Linked DNA regions of Rattus norvegicus. The protein of the gene in region 1 purifies or fractionates together with the protein of each later gene. This does not show direct contact. Links are inferred from orthologs where the notes say so. Each region holds a gene or a part of one and is shown on either strand. Other genes may lie near its edges. The genes, in order: Ago4 and Tnrc6a.

Region 1 (10,703 bases):
GATTTGACTCAGGGCCCCTGGAAGAGCAGTCAGTGCTCTTAACCATTGAGTCATTTTTTTCAGACCCAAGACCAATGTTCTTGATAAAGATTCTGATTTTATAAGAAACATCATTTAGTGGTAAACATCCACGCAAAGCTTAGATGCCTTAATTATACTAGTCTTATAAAGCTCTAGTTACTTTCCTACATTTTTATTTATGTGTGTGTGTGTGTCTGTGTGTGTGTCTGTGTGTGTGTCTGTGTCTGTGGGTACATGTATGCTGTGGCATATGTGGGGAGGTCAGAGGACAACTGGAGAGAACTGATTTTCTATCTATGGTTTCTGGATGCGATTAGCTTTTTCTGCTGAGCCATCTCATTGGTCCACTTTTTTTTTTTTTTTTTTTTTTGAGACTGGGTCTCACATAGTCCAAGTTTGTCTTAAACTCAGTATTTAGCCAAGGATGGTTTTGAACTCCTGATCTTCCTGCCTCCACCGTCCCAGTGTTGGGATTACAGGTGTGTTCTATGTGCTCATGTGCCCATGTATTGTTACCTTCCTTAAGTTAATTTTTTCTTTCTTTACTTTAGTCATCTTTGTGACTTTGGCTTTTTACTCGTGGCACCCACACAGAGCTTAGATGAAAGCATGGTGCCACTTTCTGTTGATCATTTCTCAACGCTAACTGCCACTGTCTCTGTTACTCTTAAGGGAGGTAGTAGACACTATGGTGCGACACTTCAAGATGCAGATATTTGGAGATCGGCAGCCTGGCTATGATGGCAAAAGAAACATGTACACAGCACATCCACTGCCAATCGGACGGGATAGGGTAAGTGTCAGCAGCGGGGACTCCGGGTTACTCAGTGGCAACTGCAGGTGACGGAAGACTTTCCTTCTGGGTCTCCCTTCAGGTCTTTTACTCCTTCAGTTACTTTCTGTTGGGAGGCATGCACATGCCACAGTGCATGTGAGTTGGTTCTCGGTCCCCCACATGGCTTCCAGACATGGAATTTGGGGCATCAAACTTGTTGGCAAGCGCGTTTTCCCACTGAGCCATTTGGCAAGCTTCCTCCTCTTCCTGCTGCTCTCCCCTCCTCTCTATGGGGCCTTCACTCAGGGCTGCACACGTGACCGGTTACAGTGTCCACAATCAGTGAGTCTGCTGGCAGTTACAGGTTGGAGGAGCACGGGTTACAATGATTCCGTCATCTTTGCATGTATTCCATATTTTACATTCGCAGGAGCAAAGTACTGCCTACCAACAGGCTTCTCACAGCTTCACTTACGAAAGCAAAACCACAGTGCACTCTGAAACAGTCATGCTAGTAGTAAAAGCATGGTGGTGCGCATCTTTAATCCCGGCCTCAGGAGACAGAGAGTTCCAAACCTGTGTGCTCTACCCAGGAAATTCCTGACCAGCCAGGGTGGTAAGACCCCGAGTTAAATAAAAGCAAACAAACCGGGGCTGGGGATTTAGCTCAGTGGTAGAGCGCTTACCTAGGAAGCGCAAGGCCCTGGGTTCGGTCCCCGGCTCCGAAAAAAAGAACCAAAAAAAAAAAAAAAAAAAAAAAAAAAAGCAAACAAACCAAAAACAAAGAGTAAAAATTATTTTTTAAAAGTATATGTTTTAATTACATTTATGCAAATGAACGTGCGTGAATGTGTACACCTGTACATCAGAAGAGGGCATCGCATTTTCTGGAGCTGCAGTTACAGTGGATTGTAAGCCTTTTAAAAGTAGGGATGCTGGGGCTGGAGAGATGGCTCAGTGGTTAAGAGCACTGGCAGCTCTTCCAAAGGTCCTGAGTTCAAATCCCAGCAACCATATGGTGGCTCATAACCATCTGTAATGAGATCTGATGCCCTCTTCTGGTGTGTCTGAAGACAGCTACAGTATACTTATAAATAAATAAATCTTAAAAAAAAAAGTTTAAAAAAAAAAAAAGTAGGGATGCTGAAGTGACTTGGTGGGTATAGTGTAATCCAAGCCAGAAAATTTGGATTCAGTCCCTGGGAACCCATGTGGTAGGAGGAGAACTGACTTCCACAGGTTGTCCTCTGATGTCCACATGTGTGCCATACCACATACTCACCTACAAACATGAACATGTACATACACGTAAAGGAATGGATAAATAACTATGTAGTGAACATTTGCAGAAGGCACTGAAGAGATGGCTCAGCCATTAAGAGCACTTGCTGCCATTTCCAAGGACTGAGGTTGGCTCCCAGGACTGAGGTTGACTCCCAGGACTGAGGTTGGCTCCCAGGACTGAGGTTGACTCCCAGGACTGAGGTTGGCTCCCAGGACTGAGGTTGACTCCCAGGACTGAGGTTGGCTCCCAGGACTGAGGTTGACTCCCAGGACTGAGGTTGGCTCCCAGGACTGAGGTTGGCTCCCAGGACTGAGGTTGACTCCCAGGACTGAGGTTGACTCTCAGGGCTGACACTGGGCGGCATAGCTGCCCGTAACTTCAACTCCAGGAAGTCCATCTCTCCCGGCTTCCATCGGAGCCTGCACTCATACACAAAAGTAGATAAGAAAGAAAATATTTTAAAAGTACTTTTAAATTTAAAAATGTAGCGTTGGAGAGATGGCTAAGTGGTTAAGAATCATTGTTCTTCCCAAGGATCCAGATTCAATTCCCAGCAACCACATGGTGGCTCACAGCCATCTGTAACGGGATCCGATGCCCTCTTCTGGTGTGCCTGAAGACAGTGACCATATACTCACATACATAAATAAATCTTTACAAAATTTATGACTACTATGTGAATATATGTTCCTTTTAAACTTATTAGGCAATTCACAAAAGCTATGACTTCTTGACTTTCCTACATGCCAGTTCCATTCTCCTTGTAAAGGAGCATCCCACATTAGTTCATTACTTGTCATTAGATATTTCACGTTATCTTTTTGCATGTATGCTTATGCTTATTTGTTGTATGTATTTGTTGATTTTTTCACTAAACAGTATGTCTAGGTGTTGTTTCCATTCATATACAATTTGATACCCCTTAACTATATTTTCTAATCCAAGACAATTTTTGGGGGGATATGTCTCAGTTTGGCCTTAAATTCATGGTCCTCCTGCATCAACCTCCTGATTGCTGGGATTGTAGGCACGAGCAGCCACTCTGTTGTTGGGTTGGTTTTATTTATTTATTTATCTTTTTTTTTTTTTTTGGTTCTTTTTTTTCGGAGCTGGGGACCGAACCCAGGACCTTGCGCTTCCTAGGCAAGCCCTCTACCACTGAGCTAAATCCCCAACCCCTATTTATTTATCTTGATGTTTATTTTGATCTCACATCTTTTTAAAAAGAATTATTTATTTATTTGATTATGTGAGCACACTGTAGCTGTCTTCAGAAACACCAGAAGAGTATTCACATAGTGTACTTGCAACCACCATCTACTCTAGAATTTTTCTGTTATTTTAAACAGAAATTCTCTACCCACTAAGCAATAGTTCTCATACCTCCCTGCCACCTGCTCTGGAACCCACTATTCTACCTTCCGTTTCTGTGAATTTGTCCATTCTGAGTACCTCATTAAGTAGTTCTTATATTTGTCTTTCCATGTCAGGTTTATTTCACTTAGGACAATAATAAAGTTCATATGCAATATATTGTCTTCCTTATTTATTTATTTTTAAATTTTTACTTATTTACTTTTGCATATGTATGTATTATGTATGTATGTGTGTATGTATGTATTATGTCTGTATGTATTATGTATGTATGTATGTGTGATGTATGTATGTGTATATGTATGTATATATGTGTGTATGTATGTCTGTATGTATGCATGTGTGCATGTGTGTATGATGGGTTCATGCCTGCTGTGGCGTACATATGGAAGTTAGAGGATAACTTATGTGAGTTGGTTCTTTCCTTCTACCATGAGGTGCTCAGGACTAAACTCAGGTCATTGGGTTGGGTAGTAATATCATTTACCTACTATGTCATTTCTCTGGCCCCTTATCTTTAATTATTGTATAATATTTTCTATTAAATTAGTTCTTTATTTATGGAAAATTAAATTGTTTCCCACGGTCTGCAGTTATAAAAACTGTTAAGATAAATATTCATCATGCGTATGCCATCTGGAATATTTTTGGGGTCTTTCCTACAACTATTGTAAACCTGTATGTATTTTCCACTAGGTTGATATGGAGGTGACCCTCCCAGGTGAGGGCAAGGACCAAACGTTCAAAGTGTCAGTGCAATGGGTGTCAGTTGTGAGCCTTCAGCTGCTTTTAGAAGCTTTAGCTGGACACCTGAGTGAAGTCCCAGATGACTCAGTACAAGCCCTTGACGTGATTACAAGGCATCTCCCCTCTATGAGGTCAGTACCTTACTTTGGATCCCTCCCCACAAATGTCAGGCTTTTTGACAGAATGTTCTTACCATGCAAAGGTTCCAACATAAGGCACCATTCAAACTTGATTTCAGTTCACAAACTGACGTCAAAATGTTTTGCATGAAGTATTCAAACCTTTGTCTCTTCAGGTACACTCCAGTAGGCCGGTCTTTTTTCTCACCTCCTGAAGGTTACTACCACCCTCTGGGAGGGGGCAGAGAGGTCTGGTTCGGCTTTCACCAGTCTGTGCGCCCTGCCATGTGGAAGATGATGCTCAACATTGATGGTGGGTTGGAGCTCCATCTGCTAACTCTGGTTTTTGGTCGATTAGTTTGGGCCCTTCACTTTGCCTTGATGCTAAGTATCCTTTCTCTGCTTGTTAGTATCTGCAACTGCTTTCTACCGGGCTCAGCCCATCATTGAGTTCATGTGTGAGGTTTTAGACATCCAGAACATCAACGAGCAGACGAAACCTCTAACAGACTCCCAGCGTGTCAAGTTTACCAAAGAAATCAGGGGTAGGTATTCCTGGTAATGTCATTGTGGCATGAGTGTAACACAGTAAGATCATCTGGGCTTGAGCCACATAGACCTGGGTTGCCTTCCTAGCCTACATAGTCCCAGCAAGTGGGACCCTGTGTTAGCCATAAAGTCAGTATACACTCAGACTTGGAAATACACACCAGAGCATACTGATACTTAAACAAACTTACTGAATGAACTAGTAAGGTCAGTTATGTAGCCAGGCATGGTATTGCATGCCTGCAGCCTCAGCAATCGTGAAACTGTGACCAGAAGATCACAAGATCGAGGCTAATCTGAGCCATGTAGAAGATCCTGTCTCAAAAAAAAAAAAAATTGGTTGAACATCTTAGATCATCCGGGACCTAATTTAGAGCTTACTTAGCTAAGACTTTTTGCCATAATATGATTAAATTGCTGCAACTTTTATTCTGTATTAAGTATTGACTTTTATGTGTATTCGGAGAAATCTCTATTATCTGCATGAGGATTCTTTCCAGAGTAACGTACTTCTGACTTTTTTTTTTTTTGACAGAGTCTCACTTTATAGCTTTGGCTATCTTAGAACTCCCTCTAAAGACCAGGCTGGCCTCTAACTTATGCAGATCCGCCTTCCTCTGCCTCCTGAGTGCTGGGATTAAAGATGTGTCCCATCATCCCATCTCCCATCGTGCCCTGCCACTCCTTGACTTTTTTTTTTCTTTTCTCGGAGCTAGGGAACCGAACCCAGGGCCTTGCGCTTACTAGGCAAGCGCTCTACCACTGAGCCTAATCCCCAACCCACTCCTTGACTTTTTAAAGGCAGCATTCAAATCTAGTTTTGTAACTATGATTTTAATTAAAATTGATATTTTAATTTTTTTTTTCCTTTTAACTCTTCAGGTCTTAAAGTTGAGGTGACTCACTGTGGACAGATGAAACGAAAATATCGAGTTTGTAATGTGACAAGACGACCAGCCAGTCATCAAACGTATGTGGATCACATGTAAAACAATTTGGGAGCCATACATGATGGTTTAGCCCTGTAATCTCAGTACTTGAGAGACTGAGGCAGGAGGATTGTTGTGAGTTTGAGTCTAGCCTGAGTCAAGAGACCCTGTCTCAAAAAAAGAAAAATCACAAAACGAATGAAAAAGACAATAAAGGAAACCAAAATTAACAGTAAAATTTGGTATCAACTTGATAACAGAGGACACTACTGAACATCATTGGGGAAGATGGGACACAGTAGTGTGGTTTTCAGCACTACAAGAGTCTTTCACTTATCAAAGCTTTAAAAAATATTTTAGGAACTTGTGATTTAGTTCACCTTTTGAACCAAGTGTACTAAACATAGATCGACTTCTGTTTGAGAATGTAATCAGGGCCTGGAGAGATGGCCAATCCATACCGTGCCTACTGTAGAGCATGAGCACATGAGTTCAGATCCCCATTACCCACATAAAGGCTAGGCGTGGTGCTGAACATCTGCCATTCTAGCGCCAGTCGGGTTGAGAAGATCCCTGAGCCGCTCATCAACCAGCCGAGCCACCGGGTGCACTTCACATTCAGGGAGAGACTGCCTCAAACAGTCAATTGGAGAGTGATACAAGACACTACGTGCTGGGCTGGAGAGATGGCTCAGCGGTTAAGAGCACCCGACTGCTCTTCCAGAGGTCATGAGTTCAATTCCCAGCAACCACATGGTGGCTCACAACCATCTGTAAAGGGATCTGATGCCCTCTTCTGGTGTATCTGAGGACAGCTACAGTGTACTTGTATATAATAAATAAATAAATCTTTAAAAAAAAAAAAAAAAAAAAAAAAGATGCTACGTGCTGACCCCTGGCCTCCATATGCACACACACATACACACACAAAAATGCACACATACCAAATACATGTACATGCAAACACAGTTAAAGCTTTTAAAAAAGGAATATAATAGTTATTGTAATCAATTACTATACTATAATCAATTACTATACTGTAATTCTGAGTACAGGCTGACCCTACCAGGGTCTAGGCATCCTACAGGCCATTATGGGAAGACAAATACTGCTTTGCATATTTGTGTAGTTGTCTCTCCCTTCCTTTATAGCTCGATGTTACTCTCAGCTATTAGTGTCTGTCTCCAGCAGTGCATTCTTTTTTTTTTCCTTCATCTTTATTAACTTGGGTATTTCTTATTTACATTTCGATTTTTTTTAAAGATTTATTTATTTATTATAGATGAGTACACTGTAGCTGTCTGCAGATTCACCAGAAGAGGGCACCAGATCTCATTACAGATGGTTGTGAGCCACCATGTGGTTGCTGGGATTTGAACTCAGGACCTCTGGAAGAGCAGTCAGTGCTCTTAACCGCTAAGCTATCTCTCCAGCCCCCTACATTTCGATTTTTATTCCCTTTCCCGGTTTCCGGGCCAACATCCCCCTAACCCCTCTCCCTCCCCTTCTCTATGGGTGTTCCCCTCCCCACCCTCCCCCCCTTACCACCCTCCCTCCAGCAATCACGTTCACTGGGGGTTCAGTCTTGGCAGGACCAAGGGATTCCCCTTCCACTGGTGCTCTTACTAGGCCATTCATTGCTACCATGGAGTCCACGGTCAGTCCATGTATAGTCTTTAGGTAGTGGTTTAGTCCCTGGAAGCTCTGGTTGGTTGGCATTGTTGTTCATATGGGGTCTCGAGCCCCTTCAAGCTCTTTCAGTCCTTTCTAAGATTCCTTCAACAGGGGTCCCGTTCTCAGTTCAGTGGTTTAATGATGGCATTCGCCTATGTATTTGCTGTATTCTGGCTGTGTCTCTCAGGTTTCTGTCAGCCTGCACTTCTTTGCTTCATCCATCTTATCTAGTTTGGTGGCTGTATATGTATGGGCCACATGTGGGGCAGGCTTTGAATGGGTGTTCCTTCTGCCTCTGTTCTAAACTTTGCCTCCCTATTCCTTCCCAAGGGTATTCTTGTTCCCCTTTTAAAGAAGGAGTGAAGCATTTGCATTTTGGTCATTCTTCTTGAGTTTCATGTGTTCTGTGCATCTAGGGTTATTCAAGCATTTGGGCTAATATCCACTTATCAATGAGTGCATACCATGTGTGTTTTTCTGTGATTGGGTTATCTCATTCAGGATGATATTTTCCAGTTCCATCCATTTGCCTCAGCAGTGCATTCTTTTCCTCTTACTCAATCTTGCTTTTCTAATCACACAACTTGTGGTACATTGGGTACTATGCCTAAGTGAGAATATGTGTGGAAGTGCACGTACACTTACTGCATATGGTAGATTCATTCTTGTCATCAGGATCACTAACCTTTTGTCTGACAAGAGAAAAAGATTGGTTCTTGGCTCTCCTAAATGAGTAGTGTTAAATTATATTAATTATATACTATTTTGCTTATGCAGAATTTCTTTTCTTGTCAGTATACTTTGTGTCAATGGTATTCCCCCCCCCCCCGTGTGTGTGTGTGTGTGTGTGTGTGTGTGTGTGTGTGTGTGTGTGTTTGTGTGTGTGTGTGTTCACATGGGCATCCATATGCCATAGCATCCATGTGGAGGAAAGAGGATAACTTTTAGGAGTTGGTATTCTTTCTAGTATATGATCCAGGGATTGAACTCAGGATATAGGGCTTGCAAAGTGAGGGTTTTTTTTTTTTTTTTCATACCTCCTAATCTATCTCCCTAAACTGTGTATTTAGTCTTGTTGCCTCCATACTACATAATTTGCCCTGGCTAGAAATCTCAAATCTTGGAGATCTAAAAAATGTGGCCTCAATAACTATAGTCATTCACTTAGAAAAAGTTCATCTTGAGCAAATAAAATTATGTGGATGACTCCAAGTATATATCTCAGTAGCCAGCAGGGTAAAGAGGCCCCATGATTAGAAGAACTTGTTATTCTTGCAGAAAATCTGGGTACATTTCCTAGCACCCACATGGCAGCTCACAGCTGTCCATAACTAAAGTTCCAAGGGATCAGTGGCCCTCTACTAACCTCTGAGGCAGGTGGCGTGTACATGGTGGGCAGAAATACATCCAGTCTAGCCTCAAACATGAAGAGGTTCTCCTGCCTCATTCTCTGGAGTACTAGGGTTTCAGGTATGAGCCCCCCAGACCTAGATCTTCTTTTGTGTGGGGAAAAAAATAAATTTTGAATTAAAATTTTTTTTTTTTTAGATTTATTCATTTATTATATATAAGTACACTGTAGCTGTCTTCAGATACACCAGAAGAGGGCATCAGATCTCTTTACAGATGGTTGTGAGCCACCATGTGGTTGCTGGGAATTGAACTCATGACCTCTGGAAGAGCAGTCGGGTGCTCTTAACCGTTGAGCCATCTCTCCAGCCCTAAAATTTTTTTTAGCTTCAACAAAAATTGAAATTTCAGTGAAAATTTTCTGGTACAATACTAAAATGACTTCACTGAAAGTACTCAGCCTTTTTTTTTTTTTTTTTTTTTTTTTTTTTTTTTTTTGGTGGTGGTGCTGGGGATTGAACAAAAGGCTTTATGCATTCTGCACAGTCACTGTTTATTTGTTTGTATGCACCCCCACACACACATACACATGTACGGAACAGCTCATGGGAGTTGGCTCTGTCCTTCCATTGCATGGGTCCCAGGGATTGAACTCAGGTTGTCAGCCTCGGTAGCAAGCATCTTCACCTAATGAGCTATCTTGCTGCCTCCCCAAACCCCTTTTTGAGAGTCTTATGTAGTCCAGGATGGCCTAAAACTTACTATGTAAGTGAGGATGACATTGAACTCCTGATTCTCTGCCTACATCTCCTAAGGGCTGGACCTACAGGCATGTACCACTGTTTATTTCAGTGGCCTATGGAGTGCTGGGGACCAAACACAGGGCTCTGCACACGTTAAACAAGCTTTCTCCCCACTGAGCCACATCCTCAGCCCCTGGCCTTTGTTTCTTAAGTGACTAATCAACATAGAAAATGTTAGTAGCTGGTAGAGAGCTTACCTAGGAAGCGCAAGGCCCTGGGTTCGGTCCCCAGCTCCAAAAAAAAAAAAAAAAAAAAAAAAAAAAAGAAAAAAGAAAATGTTAGTAGGTTTTGTTTACTTGTTAAAGAAGTAAAAGTTTTAAATAGACTTTCTTTCCTTTAGCTTCCCTTTGCAGCTAGAAAATGGTCAAGCTATGGAATGTACAGTAGCTCAGTATTTTAAGCAAAAATATAATCTGCAGCTGAAATACTCCCATCTTCCCTGCCTTCAAGTGGGACAAGAGCAAAAGCATACATACCTGCCACTTGAGGTAAGCCGAATGACATTTTCTTTTGCTAATCTCTTGAATTAATTTTTCTTGTGTTCAGACTGGGTGGGTCTTGCTGCATGCCTTTAATCCCAGCACTCGGGAGGCAGAAACAGCAGGATCTCTGTGAGTTAGAGTCTAGCCTGGTCTATAAAGTGAATTCCAGGATAGCTAGGGCTACACCGAGAAAACCTGTCTTTAAAAAAAACCAAAGTAGGGGTTGGGGATTTAGCTCAGTGGTAGAGTGCTTGCCTAGGAAGCGCAAGGCCCTGGGTTCGGTCCCCAGCTCCAAAAAAAAAAAAAAAGAACCAAAAAAAAAAAAAAAAAAACCAAAATAGTATAAACTTGTGGCAGAATTTAGTCCTTTTGAAGTATCTTGTGCACATAAATTTATTATGTAACTATTTTTTCCTAGAACTAGACAAGGACTTCATGTATAGAACCCCATTTCTACAACACCTAGCTTCTCTTTGTTTCTTCGCAGGTCTGTAATATAGTAGCAGGGCAGAGATGTATAAAGAAGCTCACAGACAACCAGACATCCACCATGATCAAAGCCACAGCGAGATCTGCTCCTGACAGACAGGAGGAA
Region 2 (10,703 bases), on another chromosome or scaffold:
AAGACAAAAGCAATGGAGGACCGTGGGACATTCCCGCCTCATAGATGGACTGTGCTCCTTGACATGTATCATCATTTGGGGTTTTGGAACTCTCATACCAAAGTAAAAATTAGATTCTCAGCTTAGTCCTAACAAACTAATTTAATCCATAATTTAATCATGAAGGAACACTTTACTAAAATGTTTCCACACAATAGTGTCTTTAATGCTTTCCTTTTGTTGTTAAGAACATGATATCCTGAGCAGCAGTTGGGCTGCTGTGGTAGGTTGAGCAGTACAGATATTACAACTGAGAACTGGCAGCAGTCACAGAGAGAGGCTGGGAGCCACAGAGACCTAGGCCTCACACTGACATGATGACCACAGGACCATCTCAGTGTATTAATGTCCTTTCCCAATGCTGTTACCTGTTCCTTCTGACTGTGAAAGAGCACAGCTTAACTCCCCACAAAGGCAGATCGTCTCTAAAGCAAGCACCTAACCTTCTCCAAAGATGCTGAAGGCGCCTCTTTTCCCTGTTTCCCCTTTCCACTTCCTCCCATGGTCTGAACAGCTGTCAGTCCCTGCCCCTTCTATTCTTAAATGTATTTCTAACTGTTCTTCCTTTCCACCTGGGATGATGTAGCAGCCTCTTGAGATCCCTACCTCTGGTTTTTCTCTACTGCAACTGGTATTTCACACCAACATTAGTCAGCATTCTTTGAATAAAAAGTTTTTTTCTTTAAGCCATGGTAAATTGCCTTCTTATCAATTTCACTGGCTCCTTACTTCGCCAATAATAAAGTTCCTATTTATCTTTCCTCTAATTACAGAGCCAGCTTTCTCTGTCATTTTTAGAAATCTTTCAGTTCTATCAGGCCACCCCAGGCATCTTCTACATCCCAGCACATGTGTGCTTGCCTGATGCCCCACCAGAGAATAGACGCCCTGAAGGGGCTGCTCTTCAGTGTATTGAACCCCAGCACCAAGCACAGTACCTGGCACACAGCAGAAGCTAAATAAGAGTTTGCAGTTGCTCTCTAAAGATTTTTACTAGTAGAAACAAAGGAGAAAGAGTAAAAAGGCTACACACCCTTTCCCTTCTCCTTTTTTTGCCACTCAGACCCTGTAAGGAAAGACAAAGTCACAAAACAGCATGGTCCAGTGGGAAGAACAAGGTGTTGAATCGCAAGATCTAAGCTGAGTCCTTGCTGTATCACTTACTACTTATGCAACTTTGGGCCAGTCACCACCTTCTCCAGTCTCAACTTCCTCCTCAGTAGCGTATCTCAGAAGGTTATGAGGATCAAATGATTCATGTAAAACATGTACAAGCATGTCATAAGCTACATGGCCAGGCATCAATAGGCAAATCCAGCCAAATGGAAGAAATTATAAAATGAAAATGGCAGGTCCTAGACTTTGAATCCCAGGATTAAAACGGACCAACCTTGGCTTTGAGTTAGGCCAAGTACCCACCAAATATATGACTTTTCAAGGGCCTCAAAAGGTAATCATTCTCAAATAGGGTGATGAGGACAGTTTGAAGTTGCTTGTGAGACTGGGCACCTATTTTAAAAGAAAGATGTCCCCAGGAGAATCTACCTCCAGCCCCCAGGCCCAAATATTACTACTTCCCAGGACCCAGTGGTTCCTGAACCTGGCTCAACATCAGACATATTCGTTGAGCTGCTGCAATTTCCAAAACTTGAGAAGACCTTAGGGTATAGCAGACTATGTTTTTAACAAGTGCAACCCATTTCTCATGTAAAGCCGGGTATGGAAACCCTTCCTAGGGATTTTCATCACAGGACCTTGGGGATGAGAAAGGGACAATGATGGTTAGTGAATAAACAGAATGGTGACTCTGGGTGAGGAGGTTAATGGATGATGGAGATGGACTGGCAGTGAAATGGAAAGTCAACATGGATTTGCCCTTCTCTTCATCCTCACCACTGCTGGCACCACGTGGGGCTTGTTGCCCCAGGCAGTACTGGTGGAGCTGAGGAGTAGAGAAATCCTGAGCTGTAGCAGTGGGGAGAAAGGAAGTTCCCATGGTCTGTTTTTCTAGGTAGCTGCCCATTCAAGAGGCTATACCTAAATTGGGGGCTGCCTGGACTGTACTGACTGCCATAAACGGGCAGATAGATTAATTTTCTGTGGGTAAACTACCTTGGAGATTTGAAGTTGCAAGAGCAAAGCTCTTGAAATGTTTACCTTGGATGACATTTTCTTGGTATATGGTGGCCAGTTTAAGGATGAGTTAAGCTCTTGAGATGAGCTACTGTTCCACATCCCAATCTCTACATCCTCCTCCTCTTCCCAGCCAGTGGGGCGACTTCCAGGCAATGGCGTGTCCTCACCACACCAGCCATCTTGCATAGATTTGGGTCCTGATTTGTAGATTTATGATACAAAGGCGAACAGAATTTATGAAAAAAATTCTCCAAGAGTCAGGCATGTTTCAAAGTACAGAGACATAGGAGCTAAACCATACACATCTTTACTTCTCAAATGCATGTAACAGAAAAGGTGCTTTTTGACTATATTCAAAGACACTGGAAAGAACTTATTTAAACATCCAATGAAACTTTCCATGTCTTCATAAATCTTAGGATTTCTAATCATGAGCAATAGTGGTTTCTTATGCATACCTACTTGGTTTTTTAAAATGATACAAAGAACAGAGGGTGAATGAGGTGGAAAAGACAATTGTCTATACTATTATTCTCTACAAGGCTGTTCAAAGGGTACTGAAGCCACAGTAGAACAAACATCTATCTCTACACACACAGGCCTTGGGGCTCCCATAATGTGTCCTGAGCCCAACATGGTAGAGGAACAATATTCATGTACATTTCAGGGTCCTTCCCTTCTAAGATTTGATGGTTTGGACACGTGTCTCACATTATATTATCTAGTCTCTCAAGCTGAATGGCATAAAAGCTGCTACATTCAGTTTTAAATAATCAAACAAAAGAATTTAGATTTAGTGGAGGATATGTAAATTATTCTTAGTTACTTTTGAGAAATACATCAGTAGTGACAATTTAGAAGCACTAGCCCATTTTTTAAATGTAGTTCATGAGTTTATCATCAGCACTACAAAATGGCTGCTAACAATCACAGATGACTTACCAGATTTGCTTAATGATTGTGGACCAACAGAGTTGGAGCCCCACGTGGATGCACTGGATGCTGCAGTAATGGGTTCTCCCCAGCTGGGACCACTGTCTATGGGCTTGCCCCAGGCTGAAGTACCATTATCCACAGTCGTGGCTGGAGTAGAAGGCTCTGCCCAAGGCTCACCCCAGCCTTTAGAAAGCATGGGAAAAAAAGTCATCAGCATAGACATTAGGAAACACCTTAAATAAAGGACACAAGGAAGAGGACTTGGGAAGCGAGATGAAGAATTTCACATCACACAACTGAAAAATGATGCTGTGACAAGCAAGAGGCATATTTTGTGAAGAACACAAATTATTCTGCATTAATATAACTGTATAACGTTTTAACCTTTTCTTTCAAAACTGCCATCTGGTGTAAGAGGAGACTCTTTTGAATAATTTAATATAGCAAATCATCTTCCTAAAAACGTCAGGTTCTTCTGAACCAAAGCTTGAGACCTGAGGCAGGTGCAGTGTAAAGTTACACTAATTACATTTTACTGAAAGGACACTCTTCCCATAGCACTGTAGTGGACAACAACTGACTATGACTACCATCAAGTAAACAGCCAGCCTACCTTATACACACGGGAAAAGAGGTCTACACTTTCCCTAAGAGTTAAACATAAATCAATAGAATAGGCTTGTATTTCAAAACAAAACAAAAACCCCACAAAATTAGGCACTAAAAGAAGAATTCCTGAAAACATTACCAGCTCTCTAACCAATGCAGCGTTACTCAATAAAACTCCCATTAACGGGGTTGGGGATTTAGCTCAGTGGTAGAGCGCTTGCCTAGGAAGCGCAAGGCCCTGGGTTCGGTCCCCAGCTCCGAAAAAAAGAACCAAAAAAAAAAAAACAAAAACAAAAAACCTCCCCATTAACAAAGGCATTGTGGGCCTGTCACATTTACAAAATGTTGCCCTATCAATTTACAGAGAAAAGACTTTGCTCAGTACAGGAGAGGAAAGGTCGAGCATACTAGAAAGCAGTGCAATGCTTCAGATGCACACACTGTATCCAGTTATCTGAGTAGATGCTGACTTCATGCCTCATTTAGGAAACCCACTAAGGTCAAACATAATATCAAATATCCAGAGTACTGTACTCAGGCACTTGGCTTTATTGTACTTCAATAGTGAAACCACATTATTAAGGCTTGGTTAAGAATACCTAAATAAGTACGTAACTCTGCCACTCAGTCCCTTCTACTACATTCCTAACAGAATAGGGCAACACTCCCAAGACAGAGCTGTTGCCTGGTAGACTTCACCTCTAGGTCACAGCTGAAAGGCCTTGATGTGCACGCTCAAGAACTGTGATACACAAATCTTATGACTGCATGTCAACACAAAGCTTGCTTCCACAATACCACTGCACTCCACATAGGAACGCTTACCAGAGCCACTGCTGGTCTCCTTGCTTGAGATGGCACTTGCAGCCGGCAACAACCGGTGCATCTGTGCTTGCTGGTCTGAGCGGCTGCTGCCTTCTGGGATGTTTTTATTCCACATGTTCACATTTTTGTAGTTGTATTTGCTTGGATCTCCCCAAGCTGAAGTTCCATCATCGATCTCCATTTTTCGTCGTATAGACTCTGGGGATGGTTCCTCCCAGCCTGTGGGTTCTTCCTCCTTTGCTGGAGCAGGAATAGGTCCCCCAAGCCAGCCTGTACCAGGAGGCTTGCTGGTGGCTGGTGGGATTCCCCACGATCCAACAATGTCTTGTTGCTTGTTCCAATCTGGAGAACTAACTGGTTTTGATGAATCTCCCCAACCTAGGGACTGATTACACTTTGGAGGGTCTCCCCATCCCTGGGAAGAGTTAGGTTTAGAAGATTCATCCCATCCTGATGAGTTATTTGGATTTATATTATTTCCCCAAGTAAAAGAACTAGTTTTACCAAGTTCGTTCCAACCAGAAATGGACCTGTCGCTGTCACTGCCTCCTGAGCTGGATTTCTTATTAGCCTCACCCCAATGGTTACTCCTGGAAGATTCTCCCCAGTTATCACTGGCAGAAACGGACCAACCTTGGCTTGACTTTTGTCCATCGCCCCAGCCTTGTTTGTTCTTTTGCGAATCATTCCATGCAGACTTGTCTTCTTTGCAATGCCCCCACTGATTGCTCTTGATCATTCCTGTAGCAGCAGAATCATCTTCCCACCCCCCCTGGCAGTTTGAGCCTTTGGAATCTCCCCACCTCAGAGTAGGTTTGGGATCACCCCACCCTGATACAGATGAGGTATCATTACTATTAGGGCTAGTCTTATCTGTACATGCCCCTGAGTTAAAAGTCTGTGTTGCAGAGCTTCCCCAGGCCTCTGTCCCATTGTCAGTCTTTCTTTCCCCTCTTGGTGATGTCTCTGTATCCCAGGCAGTATTCTGCTTAATAGGAGTCTGTCCCCACCCAGAATTGGATAGGACACGTGGATCTAAGTCAGTTCTGTTTACAATGCTTTGGAGTAATGTGTGCTGATCAATTTTTCTTCTATCTCTACTCTGGCTTTCCCCGGTTACTTTTTCTTCAAGGCGTCCAGTGCTCTCTGCACTACCATCACTCTCCACTGTGCCTCCTGCTTTGGCCCACACACTGTTTTGCTCATTCGTCTGAGATGTGCCAGAACCCTGATCATCTTCCTCAGTAGATTTCCATCCATTTGTAAGTTTCTTACTACCATTGCCATTTGCACTGTCATTGGAATGCTGGTTGCTAGGCAGTTTGTTCCACTCAACACTGGACAGACTAGTGCCAGTGTTCTGTGCAGGACTTCCCCATCCTCTTCGACTTCCTCCAGAATTTGCACCATTTCCACTTCCCCATGGTGAACTCTGGGAATTCACTGTCCCAGGCTCCCATACACCTCCCCCTTTATTTGTACTAACTTGAAAGTTAGTGCCCATAGGCCCATTTATGCCAGGCTGCATTAGAGTTGCATTCACAGTGTCACCATTGGCTTGGCCATTAGGGCCTGCACATTTGTCGCCAGAGTAATTAGAACCATAGGCACCCCATGTAGTACCGTAGGAGCCTCCAGTTTTTGACTCTCCATTACTAAGGTGAGAAAGGGAAGTGCCATTCAGAACTGACGGAGCCTGTATCTGAGGATGATTCATTGTGCTCACACGCCAGGCCCCTGGATTACTAGTAGGCAGTTCATTATTTTGTACTGAACCGGAGTTTGGTAAACTAGAGGTCATAAAGTTAGTAGTGTTATTTGGTCCAGTCGTTTCAGTGGTGATATTCTGAGGTTGACCACTGAATGAAACCTTCTGTGAACCACTTACTTCAGGCTCACAAGTTTCCTGAAGGCTACCCCAGGTACCATGGGTAGAAGAGCCACTGACTTTAGAGTTGATACTCTGATTGTTAGGCATCTGGCCTATGGTACTACACTGAATATTGATGCCAGAATTCCCACTCCCTACAGGCCCTTTTAGGGCAAGTCCGTTGTTTTCTAATACTGGCCAGGCACCATGGTTGCTAGCTGAATTCAAAGTGCTTGGATTTAACCCTCCATTTGATGAAGAACTTACAGTGCCCCAAGCATTCATTCTACTGTTACTACTTTCTGGTTTGCTTTCAGGAGCATCCACAGAGACCTGACATGTGCTTATTATGGCTCCATGGGGAAAGCCCCATGGCCCAGTACTACTTCCATGACCCACATTATTGCTGCTGCTACCAACCACAAATTTGCTTTGGGGACCGAGTCCAGTGCTGTTCCGAAGGCCATCTTTCTCACCACCTGTGTTCCCTGAAGCCATGACAGTGATGTTTCTCTCTGACTCAGAATTGGAGGCAGAATCAGCATCTATACATTCTGAAGCCAACTCAGGATCACTGCCAGGGGCTGAGGGCCATGCTTCTTTTTCCAACAAGTCGTTTACAGCATTCTTACAGCTTGTGCTACAGTCACTTGTAGAAGACACAGGTCCCCGCTGGCAATTTTCATAATGGGATCCTGAAGTATTATGATTTATATCTAAAATAAAGGAGAAGTATATCTATTTGTAAGTGTTAACAAATTTCCAAAATGATATCACGTAGGTTGATAAAAATGGCGATCCATACAAATACATGTAGTTCCTCAACATTAGCAAGATGCTCCGCGCAGAACGGCTTTGAGGCACTAATTATCTTTCAGCCACCAATTCTCTATGTTCAGTAATTTCACAGACAGAATTCTGCTGCTTTGCTCAATACCCTACAGTATAGCATGGAACAGAAAGTCCCACAGGGATACATGTAAATATATGAACAGATAACATCCAACAAATACAAGAATTCTAGAGGGAGGAAGAATGGGTGGTAATGATGAATTAGGACAATCCAGGCTTAGGACTTGATGTGAGAGAAAACGGACTGGGATGCAGAAAAGTAGGTAAGTGTAAGCAGACCAAAATGATTCCGTTTCCCAGAACAGCTTTTCATACGACTCCTTTGGGTTAGAACAATTCTGTAAGAATCCCAAAGCCTTTGCACTGTATCTCTATTTTATTAGTGTATACATTTAAATACCATGCTTATACACAAGGAAGAACATTAATTTTAAACAATTTTATAATTTACTTTCATAGCCATGCTTAGTAAGAGACAACAGGGAAAAATTGGTATGTTGAAAAATCACCAAATTACAGCAGCTGATACGGAAGGCCATAGGGACCAATCATATGACCAAGTCTTATTAGACTGCCATCTAACTACCATCTGTCTTTATTTATTTCTATTCTTTCCCATAGACAACATCATTAAGTATTTTTGTTAGTTTCTCAGTTTATCTCATTTAAGGGTCTAGTGGATAGAAATTTATCTGTGACATTAACTTCATAAAACATCTACACTTAGGCTATCTTGAAGGGTAGCTTACACTATAGTTCCCAGGATGAAGGTCTAGAAATAAATCAAAGTCACACTATTAGTGTGATTTGCTAGTACAGAAAAATGATGCTGCTTGTACCACTTTCTCTCAAAGTACAAATGCTAAGAAATGAATAATGAAGAGCGGTAAGAAGGGCAAGAAGAGCAACTAGAGAGCAACCTGTAATAATACCCAGTGAACATAATTTAAGTAAGTGCTGCCAAGTGCACCAACTACTGTTCCCTGTACAGTTACTGCATCACAGTGTGGGTACCTGGTGATGGCTATACCGTTAATCTAAGCCTTCAGGAGGCAGATCTGTGACTCAGAGGCAGGCAAGAACTAATTGATAGAACCCTGTACATCCATTTCCCCCCAAAAGTAGTCAATGATATTTGTCTTCTCTATTGCTCATGTAGAATCCATATGATTAAAGAACCAAAAAGTCAGTCTTCCTGGAAGAACTATTCTATACTGCAACCCAAAGGGGCAGTATCAACCCATGGCCAGCACTCACTGATATACAGGAGCAGGTCTGCAAACCCCTGCACCAAGTGCCTAGAACAATTGTAGAGTACAAGTATTGCTCTCACTTTGTATGTAAGAAACCAAGGGACAAAAGTTAAACTTGCAGAAACTGAGTGAGAGAGGCAAGATGTGCTGGACAGTTTTAAGTTAACATCAAACAAGCTAAAAAATCATAAGAGGAGGGAACCTCAATTAAGAAACTGTCTCCAAGCTACACCTGGTGGTACATGGGGAAGCACAAACAGATCTCTGAGTTTGAGGTCAGTTTGGCTTATAGAACAAGTTCCAGGATAGCAAGTACTACACAGAGAGACCCTGTTTCAAAAAAGCAAAACTAAAATCAAACCAAAGACCAAAGAAAACCAAAAACCAATCAGCCTGTGGGTATTTTCTGGATTAATGATTGATGGGGGAGTCCCAGGCCCACTGTGGGTGGTGCCATCCCTGGGCAAGTGGTCCTGGGTTCTGTAAGAAAGAAGACTGGGTAAGCAACACCCCTCCGTGGACTCTGCATAAGCTCCTGCTTCCAGGTTTCCTGCCCTATTTGAGTTCCCACACTGATTTCCATTGATGATAAACAGTGATGTGGAACTGTAAGTCAATCAAAAATTAAACCCTTTCCTTCCAAAGCTACATTCTGGTCAGTGTTTCATCACAGCAACAGAACACACAAGATACACAAGGTAATCACAGTCCTCCATACAACAAAGTAGCTTTAAAAAAAAGGGGGGGGGGAAGAAAAGAAAAAAAGGACTGACACACTAGCAACAACAGGCCTCAAGCTTGGGTCCTTCATAGATGCTGGAAGACAAGAACCTGTGTGATGAGGTCATGTTATTTTCATCTGGGGGTCAGAGGTGCTAGCGACTGAACCCTTTACATGCCTGGCAAGTATTTTAACACTGCGCTTTATCCCTGGCCTTTTGATTTCTGAGATGGCGTCCCTCTGTGTAGCCCAGGCTGGTCTTGAATTTGTGAACAATCTTTCAGCATTAGTCACAGGAATGTTGAGATTATGATTACAGCCATGTGCTATCATATTCAGCAAAAGGAGGATGGGGATAACCTTTAAATAAACTTAGTTGTTCAACTAACCATCAACTACCTAAGAAAAGCATTTAGTAACTGCTGTCAGCAGGTAAGAATTCCACGAAAGGTCAGGCATTATGGAGCATGCCTTTAATCCCAATACTTGGGAGGCAGAAGCAGGCAGATGTCTGTGGGTTCTAGACCAGCCTGGTCTATAGGCTGAGTTCCAGAACAGACAAGGCTATGCAGAGAGAGCCTGTCTCAAAACAAAACAAACAACAAACCAAGAGACATTTTATACCACTTACACAGACTCTGAGACCAAAGGCAAGACTTCTCTCTGTCTGCCTTAGTTTCCTTCACTAGATAGCAGGGTCTGCTCTCACGTGACTGCTACAGAATTAATGACTAAAGGAGCTGTATCTGATCCATGTAAGGCACCAATAAAGGGCACTACTATCATTAATGAATGTGCACCCATGAGCATCAGACTTCTACTCCATCTGCCAAACACGTTCTCACTCATCTCATCACCCACATGAAGGACAAATCACAGCTAGAGCAACATGTCTGCTTTACTACTGTAAACACAATGTCAACCACTCACATACCTCATTCTAGAAAACGTGGGGTGAAGCAATAAAACTTCTTTAATTAATTTTCCATAACTCGGTATTTTTCCTATTTTTTTAAAATTATTTTTATTTACACATATATCTATATATTTGTGTGACTGTCCCATGACATGTATGCCTGTATATGTGTTCCTGAAAGCCAGAAAAGGGCACTAGATTCTCTGTCGTTGGGGCCACAGGCAGTTTTGAGCCATATTGGGAAGACACTTGGTCTTTTCAAAGAGCGCAAGACATCTAGACATGTTGTTTTCTAAGACCTAAGCCTGGGCCTTTATTCTTGCCTGTGTACAATAAAGCAAAAGCACCATCCCTTCCCTCCACATCTAGGCAGCCCAGTTTTCATCACTATCACTCACCTTGGATTACTGCGTGTGTCTCTGCATGCATATGTTGACAATAACGTAAGGCAGGGATAAGAAATAAACACTGGGCACCTACATCTACAACAAAACTACTCACGTTGAAAATAATAGTTTAACTATGAATAACACAAAGTACTCCCAT

Evidence for each region.
Region 2: the proteins of Ago4 (region 1) and Tnrc6a purify together in Homo sapiens (co-immunoprecipitation; 4 studies listed by BioGRID and IntAct, with this or other methods). This does not show direct contact. The link is inferred for Rattus norvegicus from reciprocal best matches to the Homo sapiens genes AGO4 and TNRC6A.

The regions. Positions count from the first base shown.
Region 1 is NC_086023.1:144,087,457-144,098,159, reverse strand, and holds part of Ago4 (protein argonaute-4), read left to right. Parts: intron 1-693; coding exon 694-814; intron 815-4,151; coding exon 4,152-4,333; intron 4,334-4,497; coding exon 4,498-4,634; intron 4,635-4,731; coding exon 4,732-4,866; intron 4,867-5,752; coding exon 5,753-5,840; intron 5,841-9,966; coding exon 9,967-10,114; intron 10,115-10,595; coding exon 10,596-10,703.
Region 2 is NC_086019.1:187,117,892-187,128,594, reverse strand, and holds part of Tnrc6a (trinucleotide repeat-containing gene 6A protein), read right to left. Parts: intron 7,132-10,703; coding exon 4,546-7,131; intron 3,295-4,545; coding exon 3,118-3,294; intron 2,373-3,117; coding exon 2,197-2,372; intron 1,106-2,196; coding exon 1,073-1,105; intron 1-1,072.